Cricetulus griseus: one gene and its partner. The protein of the gene in region 2 purifies or fractionates together with the protein of the main gene of each other region. This does not show direct contact. Links are inferred from orthologs where the notes say so. Each region holds a gene or a part of one and is shown on either strand. Other genes may lie near its edges. The genes, in order: Tnrc6b and protein argonaute-3.

Region 1 (7,566 bases), about 350 Mb from region 2:
TGTGTGTGTGTGTGTGTGTGTGTGTGTGTGTGTGTGTGTGTGTGTGTGTGTGTGTGTGTCGGAGACAGAGATAAGAGACACAGAGTAAATATAGAGCACAGAGGATATTTTGGGCAATGGCACTAACCTGAACGACACAATGATGTGATATTGGATCTATCAACATATATTTGTTCACATCAACCACCAACAGTGATCCAGAATGTAACCATAACCCTAATGTAAACTGTGGACTTTGGTGGATTAGTTACCAATGAATGTTCATAAACTGTAGCAAATGGGCCATTCTAGTGAGTGATATTGATAAGGTATTATTGAGGGAGTGGGTCAGGGTTATTATGGGAAGTTGTCCCATCCTCTCAATTTTGCTGTGAATCTAAAGTATTTTAAAAAAATCCCAAGTCTTCAAAAGCAAGAAGATTGTCAGGTTTCTTTTGTTTTGTTTTGTTTGCTCCATGTGAGATAAAGAAGGACATCCACTAATATCAGGTAAGCCAGTGCCAACACCTAGAGCACCATTTCCATCCCAGGGGAAGGACTTGCTGCTGGGGCTTGACTATCACTTGTTTGTGTTCTCTGTGGATTTTTGTCATGGTGTCTGTGGCCCAATGGAGTCAACATTTTTCTGTTCACCAGGGAAAGAGGATAGTCAGAGTCTGATCCACTCCTGTCCACTTCATGCAAAACCCCGTTACATATAATTTCTTCTTTGGGCTGGGTGTGGTGGCATACACCTTTAACCCCAGCACTTGGGAGGCAGAAGAGGCAGATCTCTATGAGTTTAAGGCCAGCCTGGTTTCCACAGTGAGGTTCAGGATAGCCCAGGGCTACACAGAGAAACCCTGTCTCAAGATGTCAAACAAAGCTGGGTGTTGGTAGCACATGCTTTTAGTCCTGGTACTTGAGAGGCAGAGGTAGGAGGATCTCTATGAGTTTAAAGCCAGCCTGGTCTACAAAGTGAGTTCCAGGACAGGCTCCAAAGCAACACAGAGAAACTCTGTCTTGAAAAACAAAACAAGAGCAAAAACCACAAAACCAAAACAACAACAAAGAGTCAAAGAAGGCCAGGTAGTTCAGATAGTGGTGGCACATGACTCTAACCCCAGTACTCCGGAGGCAGAGGCAGGTGGATTATGATTTGTAGGTCAGCCACAGAGTGAGTTCCAGGAAAATCAGGGCTACACAGGGAAACCCTGTATTGAAAAACCAAAACCAACCAACCAACCAACCCACCCACCACCCCAAACAAAAAAACAAATAAAATTTCTTATCTACATGTTACCACAGTAAGCAGCTAGATTCTACCATGAAAAATAATAGCATTTGGGATGTTTTGCATTTTCATAAACATTGTTTTTGTTTGTGGTACAATCTATTTACTGTACAAATTATTTACATTTGAAGTTCTGATTATGAGCCTATGACATACGTTAGACAATGCAAACAGAGTTAGGTAGAAAGACTGGCACACCTTAGTATTTGCATGTATACATGACTGAGGTTCTTCTTTTATTTTGGTTTTTTGAGACAGGGTTTCTCTGTGTAGCTTTAGAGCCTATCCCGGCACTCGCTCTGGAAACCAGGCTGGCCTCGAACTCAGAGAGATCCGCCTGCCTCTGCCTCCTGAGTGCTGGGATTAAAGTTTGCGCCACCAATGCCTGGCCATGACTGAGGTTCTTTTGTGCATGTTTGTCATTGTTCAGGGCCAGAACACTCCTGTGTGCATCATGCGTCTGCAGGATACAGTACTCACATGTGCAATGCAGTCTGGGCCTTGGCTGCCTCTTGTTTGGTGCTGTACCGGATCAGGGCAGTGCCCTGGGTTAGATTCAGATGGAATGTCAGCAGTGGACCATGCTGCATGCAGATCGTTCTCAAGGTTGACCCATCAATCTAAGAGATAACAACACTTGTGAGCTAAGATGTAGAAGAGGCATGGGAAATTAATTCTAGGACAATTAAAGAACGACGCTAAGACCCATTATTCCTATTTTGTAATGTTTCTATATAAAAATAACTAAAAATAAAAACATAAGTGCCATAAAACATAAGCCTCATTTTTAAAAGAGATCAACAAACACGTGTGTGCTGATTTGTAGAGCTCAAAAGGACAGAAATGAGAATTAAAGATACCATGCAAAGTTATCAACATCATTACTAACACTTTATTTTTTCTGCCTCCTCAATAAATAATCTCACAGAGACAGACAAGAAAAGTACTGACAGTTAAAACTGGCCTAGTCCAAAAACAATTCACTCCAATACTATTACATTCCTCTGACCATATAAAGAGGGGAACTCCTTTTTGACTAAGTCCATTTGACCAAGGGCTGAAGGGATTATGGATAATTTTTCCAACACAGGAGTTTTATGAACAAACCTATTTACTCTATGGATTAATTTTCAACAAGATCTTAAATATATTTATTTAAGCCTTAATTCCAACACTTCAGTTCACTGTATTGGAAAAGGAATGTTACAATTGGGAATGCCTTAAAAAGCTGTGTAATGTGGTAGAACAGTGGCCTAACATACATAAGGTCCTAAGTTCCATTTTCAGCACCAGTGGGAAGTCTGAAGAATAAAACTCAGCAGTTCATGTTAGCTCTTCACAGAAAATAATCGTAAGTACGTCAGCAATTGGCACAAATTGCTTTTCAGGAGACAGATTTCCTTTAAACACATTTTTGGTGATGGAAAGTCAACTGCCCCATGCATCAACTTTGCTCTACTAACCACTTTAAACTAGGAGTGACATTAGTATCTTTACTAGGCAGCTCTAATCCCCCCCCCTTTTTTTTGAGACAGGGTTTCTCTGTATTGCTTTGGAGGTTGTCCTGGAACTTGCTATATCTATAGACCAGGCTGGCCTCGAACTCACAGAGATCCACCTTCCCTTATATCTGGTGTGCAGATATAAATGGAAGCAGAATGTTGTATACATAATAAATAAATAAAAAGATCTTAGAGTGTTCATTTAAAAAAAAAAAACAAAACAGAAATGCATTTCTCCATAGAGAATCCTATTAGACACTAGGATGTTAAAAGGCCTAAGAAATTTCCAACTGGAACTTTACCAGCTTGGCCATCTTCCAAGTCCTTTCTGGTAACAAGTTTTTGTATGTGGTTAAAACATACCATCCAAGTGGCATATCTATACAACACATTTCCTGACCAGTAGGTCATACGACCTCATTCTCACTGCTTCATAGCGCCTGCTCACCTCTAGCACCAGGAGGGTGAGGGTAAGGGTGAGGGTGAGGCCTAGGAGCCAGCACCCATCTTGTTGAAAGGACCTCTGCAGTGGCCATGAAATAAATTTGCTTTCTTTATAGGCTAGAAGAAGGCATCAGACCTCCTACATCTGGAGTTACAGGCATCTGATGTGGGTGCTGGGAATAAAACTGGGTGTTCCGCATAACCAGCAAGCTTTCTTAACAGTCATCTGTTAAGCCATGAGCCATCTCTCTAGTCTCATAAATAAGCTTTAGTATCTGCCAAGCTCCTCTACTGTTTCTTCCCTTTTTTGTGAGACAAAAGTTCCATGTACCCCTAGAACTTGCTATGTAGACCAGGCTGGCCTTGAACTCACAGACATCTCCGTGCGTCTGCCTCCCAAGTGCTGGGGACTAAAGGTGTGTGCCACAATGCCCAGTTTCTCTTTCTTTAAATAAAATCAAGCCTTATCTAGAAAAGCACAAGAAAATAAGGTTACCTGTGGAGTGAGATTGTGAAGAACCAGCCAGTAACTAGCACGGACAGAGCCACCATCACTCCAGGTAGAGGCTGCAAACAACAGAAAAAGGATGAGGAAGAGTGAGAAAAACAAAACAAAAAGAACACCCGAATCACCAACATTCTCAGGGAACTATAAAGGGGAACATTTTCATTCAGACCGTCTGTCTGTCTGTCTGTCTAACACTGACCTTCATGGTCTCTTCTAGTCCTTGATCCCAGTAAATTCATTTGCTTTTTGTGAGATAGTATTCCCTCCCACTGTCCTCCCCCTCTACAGTTGCTCATTTGTACTTCAAGTACCCTATAGAGGTTCTGGGTCCCTTCATCTGTACTGATTGCAACTTTTCAATCAAAAGATAGTTTTTCTTCTACCAGACAACCATGCTCTCCTCCATGGTCAGCCCTCCCCATAGTGCTAAACAGCTATTCCTGCTTAGCAGATCCTTCTCACCCGAGGCAATCCGAGAGTCCTGTGTCCCCCACCCCCTGACTGATCTGGGTGCTGTGCTGCTCCAGGGAGATGCCGGTTTGGGGTTGGTCAGGCCAGGAGGTGGGCGGGGCAGCGGTGTAGTGTTCCTGGAGGAGATGTGGTTTTTCCACATCTTGTTGGAGAGATGAGTGGGGTTGTGTCCTATGGGATCTGGGGACCACGTGGATTTGTAATCAGGGAACTTTGCTGTGAAAAGAGAAAAGTCAGTAAGCATCAGGTTACATGGGCATTTGCCCACAAATAGACACAAATTTTATCTGCACACACACATATATATTCTATAACTGTTTCAAAACATTGAAAAGTAGAAGGAAGCATATATATATTTGTTTTTCGAGACAGGGTTTCTCTGTGGCTCTTGTAGACCAGGCTGGTCTCGAAATCACAGAGATCCGCCTGCCTCTGCCTCCCGAGTGCTGGGATTAAAGACATGTGCCACCACCACCCGACAGGAAGCATATATTTTAAGAGGAGCAGTATGAGCTGAGCAGTGGTAGTAAATGCCTTTAATCCCAGCAACAGGGAGGCAGAGGCAGGCGGATTTCAGTGAATTCGAAGCCAGCTTGGTCTATAGAGTGAATGCCAGGACAGCCAGGGCCACACAGAGAAACCCTGTGTGTCAGGAAAAAAAGAAAGGGGGGGGGACCAGTATGAAAATAATTGTTCTTAGAGCATGCTGAATATGAAATTTTAAAATGACTTTGAACCAACCAAGATTTAATAAGGTAACTAATCTCCTACTACTTTCATGGGTAAATACAACTGAAAAGAGAAGATAAATTCATGGAGAAAGTATTCCTAAGGAGGTCAAGATAATAGACAGGGTTATTAGACTGCTAACACAAATAGAATTGGAGTACTCACTCAATGTTCACTGACTACCATGAAAAGCAAAACAAAACAAAACTAGAAAATAATGCACTGCTTGTGCCTTGACACCAACATTGATTTTAAAAATAATCAATAAGGCTAGAGCAATAGCTCAGTGGTTTGGAATACTTGTTACTGTTGCAAAAATCTGAGTTTGATTTCCATCATGGTGGCTCACAACCACCGAAACTCCAGAGGACCCCATGCCCTCTTTTGACATCTGTGGGCACTCTGGCACATATGTGGTACACATATATACAAGCAAACATTCACACACATACAATAAAATAAACAAATCTAAAACAAAGTTATCAAATAAGTACTATTGCTTACTATGCTTAAGGTACCTGACAGTAATGTAGATAACACAATTATCTTGCAGAGCCTCTGGTTTAGATGGGAAACAGAACAACCAAATTTTTAACCTTGGCAACAGAACATATGTTCAATACACAGAAGACAGAAAGCATTAGGCTGCTGGCAGAGGCTCTGCAAAGATAGATCTGAAGGGTTTACATTAAAGGATGTGCTCAGGGATGCAGGAAAAAGAAAACTCAGGTTCAGTGTAAGGCCTTTCCAGTTTTAATGGGGGCAGAGAAGTAAGAGGCCACAGGTACATTATGACTAAGTAAGCTGCAACAAAGTTTCCAAAAGACTCAGCACAAACTAGGGTGACACCAGAGCGGAACAAGTGAGTGGAGAGGAAAATTACAGCTGTCAAATATATTCCTGAGAGTGAGAGTCAGGGCCTGGGACCCAGGGAATGAGGAAGAGAGGAAAGGTGAGGTAAATAGTAAGGGACTGAGCTAGGGAGAAAAGAAAGTTATAAGGATAGGCAAGTTCAGTCTTAGGGAAGTCTCAGGTCAATGTCCAACTGCAAGGAGATAATTCCTGAAATCTGGGCTTTTATAGGAATGAGAGAACTAGATGAGTGCCAGAGAAGGTAGCCACGTGTCTATGTGGGCAAGCTGCTGGGGAGACTGAGGCAGAGGACTGCTTCAGCCCAAGGGAACGCAGACCAACCTAGGTAACTAGTATCTCAGTACTTAGCCAGTTTTGGCACATCCCTATGATAAGAGCATGTGAGAGGAGGAGTGAAATGAATGTGAGGTTAGCCTGAGCTACGCGAGACCCTGTATCAAAAGAAAACAACCTAAAGGGTTCTTAGTCAAACAAATGCAAGCATTAGACAAAAATTTCATCATTTCGTTATTATATTATGGTGTACATGTACAGGTGTGAATGTGGGTGTACATGTGGACAACATGGTACATATGTGGAGGTTCTCTCCTATTGTGGGATCTGGGGATCAGACCAGGTCATCCGGTTTGTGTAATAAGTACTGTGCCAGCTTACAGGTAAATGAAGTCCTGTTAAGTATGACACAGGGAAATACAACAATATTTTTGTTTGGTATTTGACATAGGGTCTTAACCCATGCCAGCCTGCAGGAATTCATTCAAAATCATCTCAGTTTATCTATTGAATGAGGGTAACCCATTTACACAGTAGGAGAAACTCAAAAAGGAGCTCACGCTAAAGTTTACTATAATGCCTGTAGGAACACTCAGCTAGCATATAGTATTACTGTTGCATTGTTGATGCGATACAACTTCTTTCTTTTTAAGATACTGTCTCTCCCTTAACCTGTAGAGCACTGAATTGGATAGACTGGCTACAAGCAAAGCCCAGGGATCTTTTTGTCTTTGCAACCCAAGCACTGGGATTAGTTGTACGTACCATAGCTCAGGTTTTTTTTCTTTTGAAACAGGGTTTCACTATGTATGGGCTGTCTTGGAACTCGCTATGTAGACCAGGCTAGCCCCAAACTCATGGAGCTACACCTGTCTCTACTTCCTGAATGCTGGGATTAAAGGTGTGTTGAGTTGTGCCTGATTTATTTATTTTTTAAAGAGCATTGTGTTTTTCCTCCACGTATGTCTGTGAAGGTGCAAGATCCTCTGGAACTGGAGGTACAGACAGTTGTGAGCTGTCATGTGGGTGCTGGGAATTGAACCTGGGACCCCTGAAGAGCCCTCTCTCCAGCCCTGCCTGATTTTTTTTTCTTTTTTTTTAATGTGGGTGCAGGGGACTGAACTCAGGTTTCCATACTTGTACAGCAAGCATTTTACCCACTGAACCATCTCTCCAGCTGCTATTAGTTTTCCATTCTTCATGAAGTCTCAATAAACAAATAAATGACAAAAGTCCAATTAGCCCTCCCCCGAACCCCACCAAATAATGAGGAACTCAATAGGTATTACTGGCAAGTTAATCTTTTTGACTCTCATTTTGTCTCTAAGTCAGATTTTGGGGGAAGAGTAAGCTATCACTGGTTGCCTCAATGCTCATCGGGATTAACCCATCTCTTCCTATAGCCCTTGATTTCTTGGCTGGCTGGTTAACAGAAGCATTTGGTTTTCAGGTCATTAACTGTGTCCTCTGAATATCCCCAGTTGTATGACATT
Region 2 (8,329 bases):
ACAAAACAATTTCTAACAGAAGTTAGTAGGACTTATTTCCCCACCCCTGTCAAGTGTTCATTCTAAAACAAGGAAGTCTTCCTCTGGATGCCCTATCAATTCAGGCTTCATGTATTTTCTCATGCCACTAGCAAAGCAAAAATGAGCCCTTATAGGAGTTAAATAGGAGTTAGCCATTGTATCATAAGGATTAGGAAGGTTAGTTAGGTCTAACAAGAAAGAATCAGGTAAGGACTACTGGGTGGATACCCTGTCTTATGGTGAGTAGCAAAGAGCCTTCAGTCTAGGCTCTGGGTGTTCCTAAAGCCTGTTTTATATTGTGTTTGCTGCAAGTGCCAAGTCATTATTGCAGAAACTGCTGGTAGAGGCTGTCGTTTTTTCTAGTTCTTCTTATCTAACACAGGAAGTAGAGTATAGACGCACTAAGGTATTAGAATAGTGGTAGTTGGGAAGAAAGTGAGCATTCTTAGTCCCCGAGCCATTGGTAAGCCTGAGGTCTTCCTACATATTAAAGCAGGTAGTTGGGTACTCTATCCTTTAAGTGCACTGAGTATTTGGTATTTCATTGTGCTTTGCTTTGGCGTCTGTCATGTATCCATATACCTATTTGCTATCCTGATATCATTAAGTTGTTCATATATTTTACTCATTTTAAATTTGTATTGTTTGTCTCGGGCTATAAAAGCTTATAAAATTCAAGTTCTTTATTGGAGATATGTATGTGCATATATGTGTGTGTATTCATATATATATACATATATATATGTATATATATATATATCAATTAATTTTTCCTAATCCATGGCTTGCCTTTCACTTTGGATAGGAAAAGTTTTTCGTTTTTATGTTCAATTTATTGATTTAAGGTTAAATTTATTGCCTTTTTTACTTTTCTAGTTAATGCTTTTTGTATAGTATTTAAAGAAATTTTCATTGTCTGATGGCTGCTGAGGTGCTCAGGGGGCACAGACATCTCTGCATCTGAGATTTTGTATTTTGTAGTTCTCCTTCTGAGAACAATCAGTGCTATCAGGAATAAAGCCAGGGTTTTAGCCTGCTTCTTGAACCCTGTCCTTGAGTTCCATCCATCCGTCCATCCATCCATTCATCCAGTTATTTAATGTGCTCTTCTTTTTTTAAAAAAACTGATTGTGTTCTTACAGGATAGCAGTAAGCATTGTTGTAGGCACTGAAGCTGTGGCAGTTAACAAGATACACAAACCTTTGTGACCTTTGGAAGTATGTTACCTCAAAACAGTATTTGGTCAGGGGAAAACCTCATATACTTTTGTATTGGCAAGAACCTCCAAGACCTTTTCACCTCCCTGCTTTAAATTTTAATTCATGAGCCTTTCACATGGGCTTACTCTAAAGAGGTGTGGTTCTGCATAGCAGAAGAAGGCAAGAACACATCAGAGACATTTGTTAGATTTTATTGAATCTTAGGGCCCAGATCTTGTTTAAGTGTTCAAAAAGACACTACCTTGGGGCTGAAGAGGTGGATCAGTGGTCAAGGTCATGGGCTGCTCTTCCAAAAGACCCAGGTTCTATTACCAGCACCCACATGGCTGCTCACAACTGACTAACTCTAGTCTGACACCCTCTCCTGGCCTCCGTGAGCACCACACACACACCGATAGAGTTATATGCAGACCAAACATCTGTACACATCCAAAATAAAACAAAACCACTCATTTTGTGACCACACTGTGTTTTCTAGAAGAAGCTAGGTAAGCTTGCATTCATTTAAGGAAGTAGTCACAGAATCAAGAGATGAGGGTATAATAGGCCCTTGCACAAATTTGGGATTCACTCTTCAGGCTTTGATCATGCCATCAAGCTCTGGATTGACTTTTAAGATGTGCCGATGGATCTAGTGATTTGATATTTTAAACATTTGGAAGGTCATTTTCAGTCAACAGGAAGAAGAAAGTGAGATGGGGCTTGGAGTCCCCACCATTTATTGTATAGTAAGCATGTCCATTAAGTGCATCAAAATTGTCAGCATGTAAATATTTTTGTTATTAACATTTGGGAGAGTTTCTTCTGAGCTTTCTGTGCACTATACATGTCGATCTTTCTGATGAGGGAACTGAAGCCCAAAGAGATAAAGTGGCTGATCCAAAAGTCCATATAACCGGGAGGGAAAGGATCCTGAAAATAACGTTTCTTTTTAAAATGTTATATATGCATATTTAAAGTTAAAACATCACTGGTTAATTGGGACACAGGGAAAATAATGAGTCACTGCTAAGCCTGCATAAAATAGTATCTGTTTTCACTAAGCTAAGTAATTTTAAAAGGATGGTCTGCTTGCATGTGCTGGATCTGGCCTCCGATTCTGATGGGTTGGAGGCAGGTCAAAAAGTAGTCCACATCCTACAGATCGGGTAGACCAGTGTCCAGGAAAGGCCACCGGAGATGACTTAAGTGAAAGTTTGGCATGGGATGGGAAAGGGAGAATTCCTGGCCAAGGGAACCCAAAGGCTCCAATTCAGCAGAAAAGCACCTGACCAGGTCGGGGGAGCTGGAAGTGGACCAGCTTAGTCTAATACAGTCTTGAGGGGTCCAGAGGGAAAAGGCCTTGGCTCCTTAGCCAGGTGCTTTAACGCCAGAAGGGAGTTTATGTTCTTCAAGGGGATTAGGAGAGTGTTTAAACACAGAAATGATTCCTTCTTGTACTCTATGTAATGTCCTGTTTCTTAGTCTTCTGTTTTAAAACTACATTGAATTTATTTTAACCATCTTTAAAAAAAAAAAAGTTGTCAAAGCAACCTCGGGTACTTAGCGAAATCTCTTGTGGTTACCGCCTAGTACTTGTGCTCAGAGCGGGCGTGGCAGGCGGAGCTAGGAGGGAGGATGTCCTTGGATGGTCATCTGTCATTCTCAGGTAGAACTGTCCCTCAGGTAAGCTCCTCGGGGCTGGCAGTGACGTCGCCTCAGGCAGCGGCCCCGACCGGTCCCCGCCTGGAAGGCTGTCACGGGGGAGGCTGGCCTCTGGCTCGGGATTGTCACCGTCAGGCACAGCGGGTGCTGGGCGGCCGCGCTCTCACGGCTCCGCCCCGGCCTGTCACCCGCTCGCTCACCCTCCCACACCTCCCCAGAGTCCTCCATGCGCTGGCCAGGCCGGCTCGGACGTTGTCACCGCACAGATCCGGCTCCAGGCGAGTTGCGGACCCCGCGAGCGGGGCACGGTCCGGGGAGCGGAACTGACGCGGGCGGGCTTCCGGGGGCAACCCGGGAGAGCGAGCAACGGCGGTGGCCGGCGGTTTGGGGAGCTGTGCACGCGTCAGCAACCGTGTGCGACGCAAGTTCCGGACCGGGCTTCAGCGTCCTCGCCTCACGCCTCTCTCTGTTCTCGCCTAGCTGCGGGCTGTCTCCCGACAGTGGCTCTTCTGCCCTGAGCTTTCGCAGGGCGCCCCTTCCTCGCCTCAGTGGCCGCACCGTTCTCTCGTGAAGCACTGCCCCCAGCTCCATGAATGGAAATCGGCTCCGCAGGTAAGTCGGGGCTGCCGGACGGGGCAGGTAGGGTCGTCACCCAACGGTCGTCCCCCGAGCATCCTTGCGCCTTCATTAAGGGAGCCGTTGGTTTTCGGGCCCAACGCCGCTGGCTTCTCCACAGCACCGCAGCTACCCTCCCGGGGCCACTGAGTTGGCAAAACTACCAGGAGGGTTTAAGTTTGGGTTTATCTAGGCGATGTCATCCCCCTGGAGTGCTTCTTCTCCCCTGAGGATACAGAGGAGTTTGCCCTTGCTTTTGTAATTCCATTTGGAAACGTCAAGGCAGCGCTTATCCCTTAGCCGGGTCGCGCGTCCCATGTAGGCTGGATAGTCAGTCCCCTTTTCTACCTCTTAAAGTAGTCTGAAGGTATTCTGAGATCACCGATGGGCTTAAGTTTAAGTCAGATGCAGGACGGCATTGCTTGCATCCCCAGACTCACTCTGTCTGTGGCAGTGTGGTATGTAGTTTTCCGAGGAGCTTGGCGAGGTCCTCTCGGTCTGGATCACCACTTATGTGAGAAGGTAGATCTTCAGAATGTTGGCACTGTTTCCCCCGATTTTCTGTTCCCTACGGCAGCAGTTGTCCACATACCTGGAAATCTGGGGTGTAGGAAAACGGTTTTGTCTCTGGAGAGAAAAATGGCAGCCTTGAGAAAGGAAGCCAGCCTGGACAGTACTTGTCCTAAGAAAGAAAGAGAGGAGAGAGAGAGAGAGAGAGAGAGAGAGAGAGAGAGAGACGAGAGAGAGAGAGAGAGAGAGAGAGAGAGAGAGAGAGGGAAAGAAAGAAAGAAAGGTCAGCGATTCTGAAGTAACTGATAAAGCAACAAGAAATAGGTGTTACATAACGGTTTGCTTACCAAGTAATCACCCTTGTTCCCTAAATTTGAAAGTTCTCTTCATCCACAAGATCAGTAATGGTATAGTTTCTATAATATTTGGGGGGATTGCCTTGTTATTATTGTATAACAAATCCCTGAATTTCATATCTTCCCTTGCCAATTTGAAAGTCCCCAAATATGTAATGTAAACTAATGTAAAAAAAAACAAACTAGTGACATAATTGTCAAAATGGATACAAAAAGGCATTTTCTGGATTACATGGAATCTCTTTCTACTCTGTTTCTACCATTTTTCCCTTTATGTTCCATTTTTTCTCTTCTCTCTTTCTTTCTTTCTTTTTTTTTTTTTTTTTTTTTTTTTTTTTTTTTTTTTTTTTTTTTGGTTTTTCGAGACAGGGTTTCTCTGTGGCTTTGGGGGCTGTCCTGGAATTAGCTCTTGTAGACCAGGCTGATCTCGAACCCACAGAGATCCGCCTGCCTCTGCCTCCCGAGTGCTGGGATTAAAGGCATGTGCCACCAATGCCCGGCTTCTCTTCTCCATATTTTTCTAAAAAGCAAAATTTGTCTAGACTGAAGTTTTAGACTCTTATTATCAATTTGTGTATTTCCATTGTCTTTTCTTTGTTCTTAAATTTTACATTTTATTTGTACTTTTCTTACTTTATAAGATATCTGATTATTTCCAGAGATCTGACTTTTACATAACTACTCTATTGTTAAGCCTGAAAAACCAAATATGAAATTAAATATTTTGTTAATCATCTACCTAAAACTTTTGAAGATATCTCCCCCTAATGAGGTATTCCCCCTTTAGGTTTTTCATGTGAAAATACGATCTAGAAAGTACTTGTGATATCAGACCACCTAGTCAGCTGATACAGTTAGCAAAGCCTGGTTCAGAAAATCAATTTTACCTTTTCCTTTGGGGTGTTCTTCTGATAGAATATAGAACAATTGATGAGTCTTCACATAAGGGTAGATATAGTTAACTAGCATGGCATAGTGGCTCACACTTTGGTCCCAGCACTCAGGAGGCAGAGATGGTTCAATCTCTTTGAGTTGGAGGCCAGCCTGGTCTACATAAAGAGTTCCAGGCTAGCCGGGGCTACATAATGAGACCCTGTCTCAAACAAACAAACTAACTAAAATTAAAACAAAACAGTTTATCAACCATGCTTGGTCATCTTGAAACATAAAAGTCATTCTTCAATAAGGTTTATGCATGATTGACTGTTGTCTGGCATCAGGAGCAAGACTGTTACCATCAAAAATGGTTCTTTGGGCTAGTCATTGTGGCACATGTCTTTAACCCCACTACTTGGAAGGCAGAGGCAGAGGCAGGCGGTTCTTTGTGAATTCAATATCAGCCTGGTCTACAGAGTGAGTTCCAGAACAGGCTCCAAAGCTATACAGAGAAACTCTGTCTCAACAAAACAAAACAAAACAAAACAATTAGATATTCTTTAATAGTCTGTTAGGTTAGTACTGAAACTTTTGGTTCTCAAATTCTGTTTTTCTTTTGTATGGAGATTCTCAGGAATCATTTACCGACAGATTGTTTATTATGTGGATACACAGAAATCTTAATTTTATTTAGTGCAATAGAGGACATTAAATACAAGTATAATAATTTTATGATGGCGCATTCCTCACTAAAAATATTTATCCTTCCTTTCTTATTCACCTGAAATATTACAAGGGTTTTATTTTATTTTTGAGACTAGGTTTCATTGTGTAGTTTAAAGATGTGTGCCACCCTGCCTAGCTTTGTAAGGGATTTTTTCAGTGTTTTCTTATACAGCCCACTAATTTAGTTCCATCTGTCTTAGGGTTTGTATTGGTATAAAGAGACACTATAACCTTTTTGTTGGTTTATTTTTGTTTTTGTATTTTCGAGACAGGGTCTCTCTATGTAGATCTGCCTGTCCTGGAACTCACTCTGTATACTAGGCTGGCCTCAAACTCACAGAGATCCACCTGCCTTAGCCTCCTGAGTGCTGGGATTAAAGGTGTGTGCCACCACTGCCTGACTAAAACAAATACTCTTAAAAGCTGAATCATTTCTCCATCCCAAAGATTTTGGCAGCTCTTAAAAAGAAACGAGTTGGGTTACCAGGGAAACTCGTACAAACAAAAACATTTAATTGGGGCTGGCTTACAGTTTCAGAGGTTTAGTCCATTATTGTCATGGTGGCACACAGTCAGACATGGTGCTGGAGAGGTAGCTAAGAGTTCTACATCTTGATCAATAGGTAGCAGGAAAAGAACTGAGACACTGGGCCTGGCTTGAACATTTGAGACCTCAAAGTCTGTCCCCAGTGACACACTTCCTCCAACAAGGCCACACCTCCCAATAGTACCAGTCCCTATGAACCTCTGGGGCCATTTTCATTCAAACTACCATACCGTCTTAACATTGATTTGACCAAAAAATGGACAAATTCATTTTTTGAAGTAATAATTTAGGCTTCTTGCCTTGATCCCTGAAGGGTACTTCTGATGAAACTGTTTTTCTGGTCTAATTAAAATTGAGCTGAATTTCTAGTCTAAAACAATTGTGCTTTGTTTTCAAATAAAATGAGAATAGGAAAATCAGGAAATGTTTATTTAAATGCTATTTATTTTTTGAAATCTAGTACTCTAGTTTATAATTTTAGGTGAAGTCCACCTGTTGTTCAGAAAGGAATTACACTTAAATGTAAGTATTCCCTAGTAACTTATGGGAAGACAGGGAGTTTCAGTTATGGATTGCTTTCCTAGCACACTCTAGCATTGAAGAGGAAGATGCTTATGGAGGGAAAACATTTATCATAAGTTACTAATATGTAAGTTGATTTTTCATCCGATCTTGCAAAAAGGGGAAGATCTTGTTAAACTTCTTTTTAAGAGTTATTTACTTTTACCATGTATTTGACTTCATGTATGTATTTTGTATACCATGTGTGTGCCTGGTGCTCACAGAATCCAGAAGAGGGAATTGAAACCCTCTGGAACTGGAGTTACAGAGTGTAGTGAGCAGCCATTTGTGGGTGCTGGGAACTGAACCTGGGTCCTTTGCAAAAGCAGGAAGTTCTCTAACTGTTGAGCTATCTCTCCAGCCTCCTTAAGTTAAACTTTTACTTCCTCTCTGAACATAATTGTCCCAGAGCCCTTGTATTTCTTTATTAATAACTTTTTTTGAGTCAGTTGGAAGCCAGCAAGATGGCTGGCTCAGTAGGTAAAGGCAAAAGAACTTGTTGTCCCATCAATACAGACATTCAAGGATACAGGCATGTGGGTGTACATGCAACAAAATAGTAAGTAAGTGAATAAATGAATAGACAAAGTGCAGGAAAAACAAAACTCATTTGACATTAAATTGGAAAAGGAAAGCTGATGTAAAGGAAGCTAGAACTAAATCAAGAATGAGACTCGTTCTGTCATCTCAGCACTCTGGAAGGCTGAGCAAGGAGAATTGTGACTAAAGCCAGCCTGGGATACGTAGTGAGACCTTGTCTCAAAATTTTTCTTTTAAAGAAATCATAGGTTTGTATTATGAAAAATGGTTGATTGTATTTTAACATTTTCAAATATGAATATAATGGTCTTTGATTATAATCACCCCCTTTTTCCTCTTAAAGAAATAATGTAGGGCCCAGTATGGTGAAAACCCAGCCCAGGGAGGATAAAGGAAGGCTCTCTAAGATTATGACAGCCTAGTCTGCACCGTAAGTTTCAGGTCAGCCAGGACTATATAATGAGACCCTGTGTCAAAAACTTTCAAGATTTCAAAGAACAGATGAAAACAAAGCAAAACAAATTTAACCTTAAAATGTGGTTTTATAAACATAATGAAGATATTTAAAAGCAACCACAAATCTGTCATTATGATAAACCAATTTTTATTTTAAAAATCAAATTAGAGGGGCTGGAGAGATGGCTCAGAGGTTAAGAGCACTGGGTGTTCTTCCAGAGGTCCTGAGTTCAATTCCCAGCAACCACCTGGTGAC

The links.
Region 1: the proteins of protein argonaute-3 (region 2) and Tnrc6b purify together in Homo sapiens (affinity purification with mass spectrometry; 6 studies listed by BioGRID and IntAct, with this or other methods). This does not show direct contact. The link is inferred for Cricetulus griseus from reciprocal best matches to the Homo sapiens genes AGO3 and TNRC6B.

Annotation. Positions count from the first base shown.
Region 1 is NC_048595.1:378,074,011-378,081,576, reverse strand, and holds part of Tnrc6b (trinucleotide repeat-containing gene 6B protein), read right to left. Parts: intron 4,415-7,566; coding exon 4,190-4,414; intron 3,787-4,189; coding exon 3,716-3,786; intron 1,894-3,715; coding exon 1,754-1,893; intron 1-1,753.
Region 2 is NC_048595.1:26,614,836-26,623,164, forward strand, and holds the start of protein argonaute-3, read left to right. Parts: upstream 1-3,291; 5' UTR 3,292-3,479; coding exon 3,480-3,498; intron 3,499-8,329.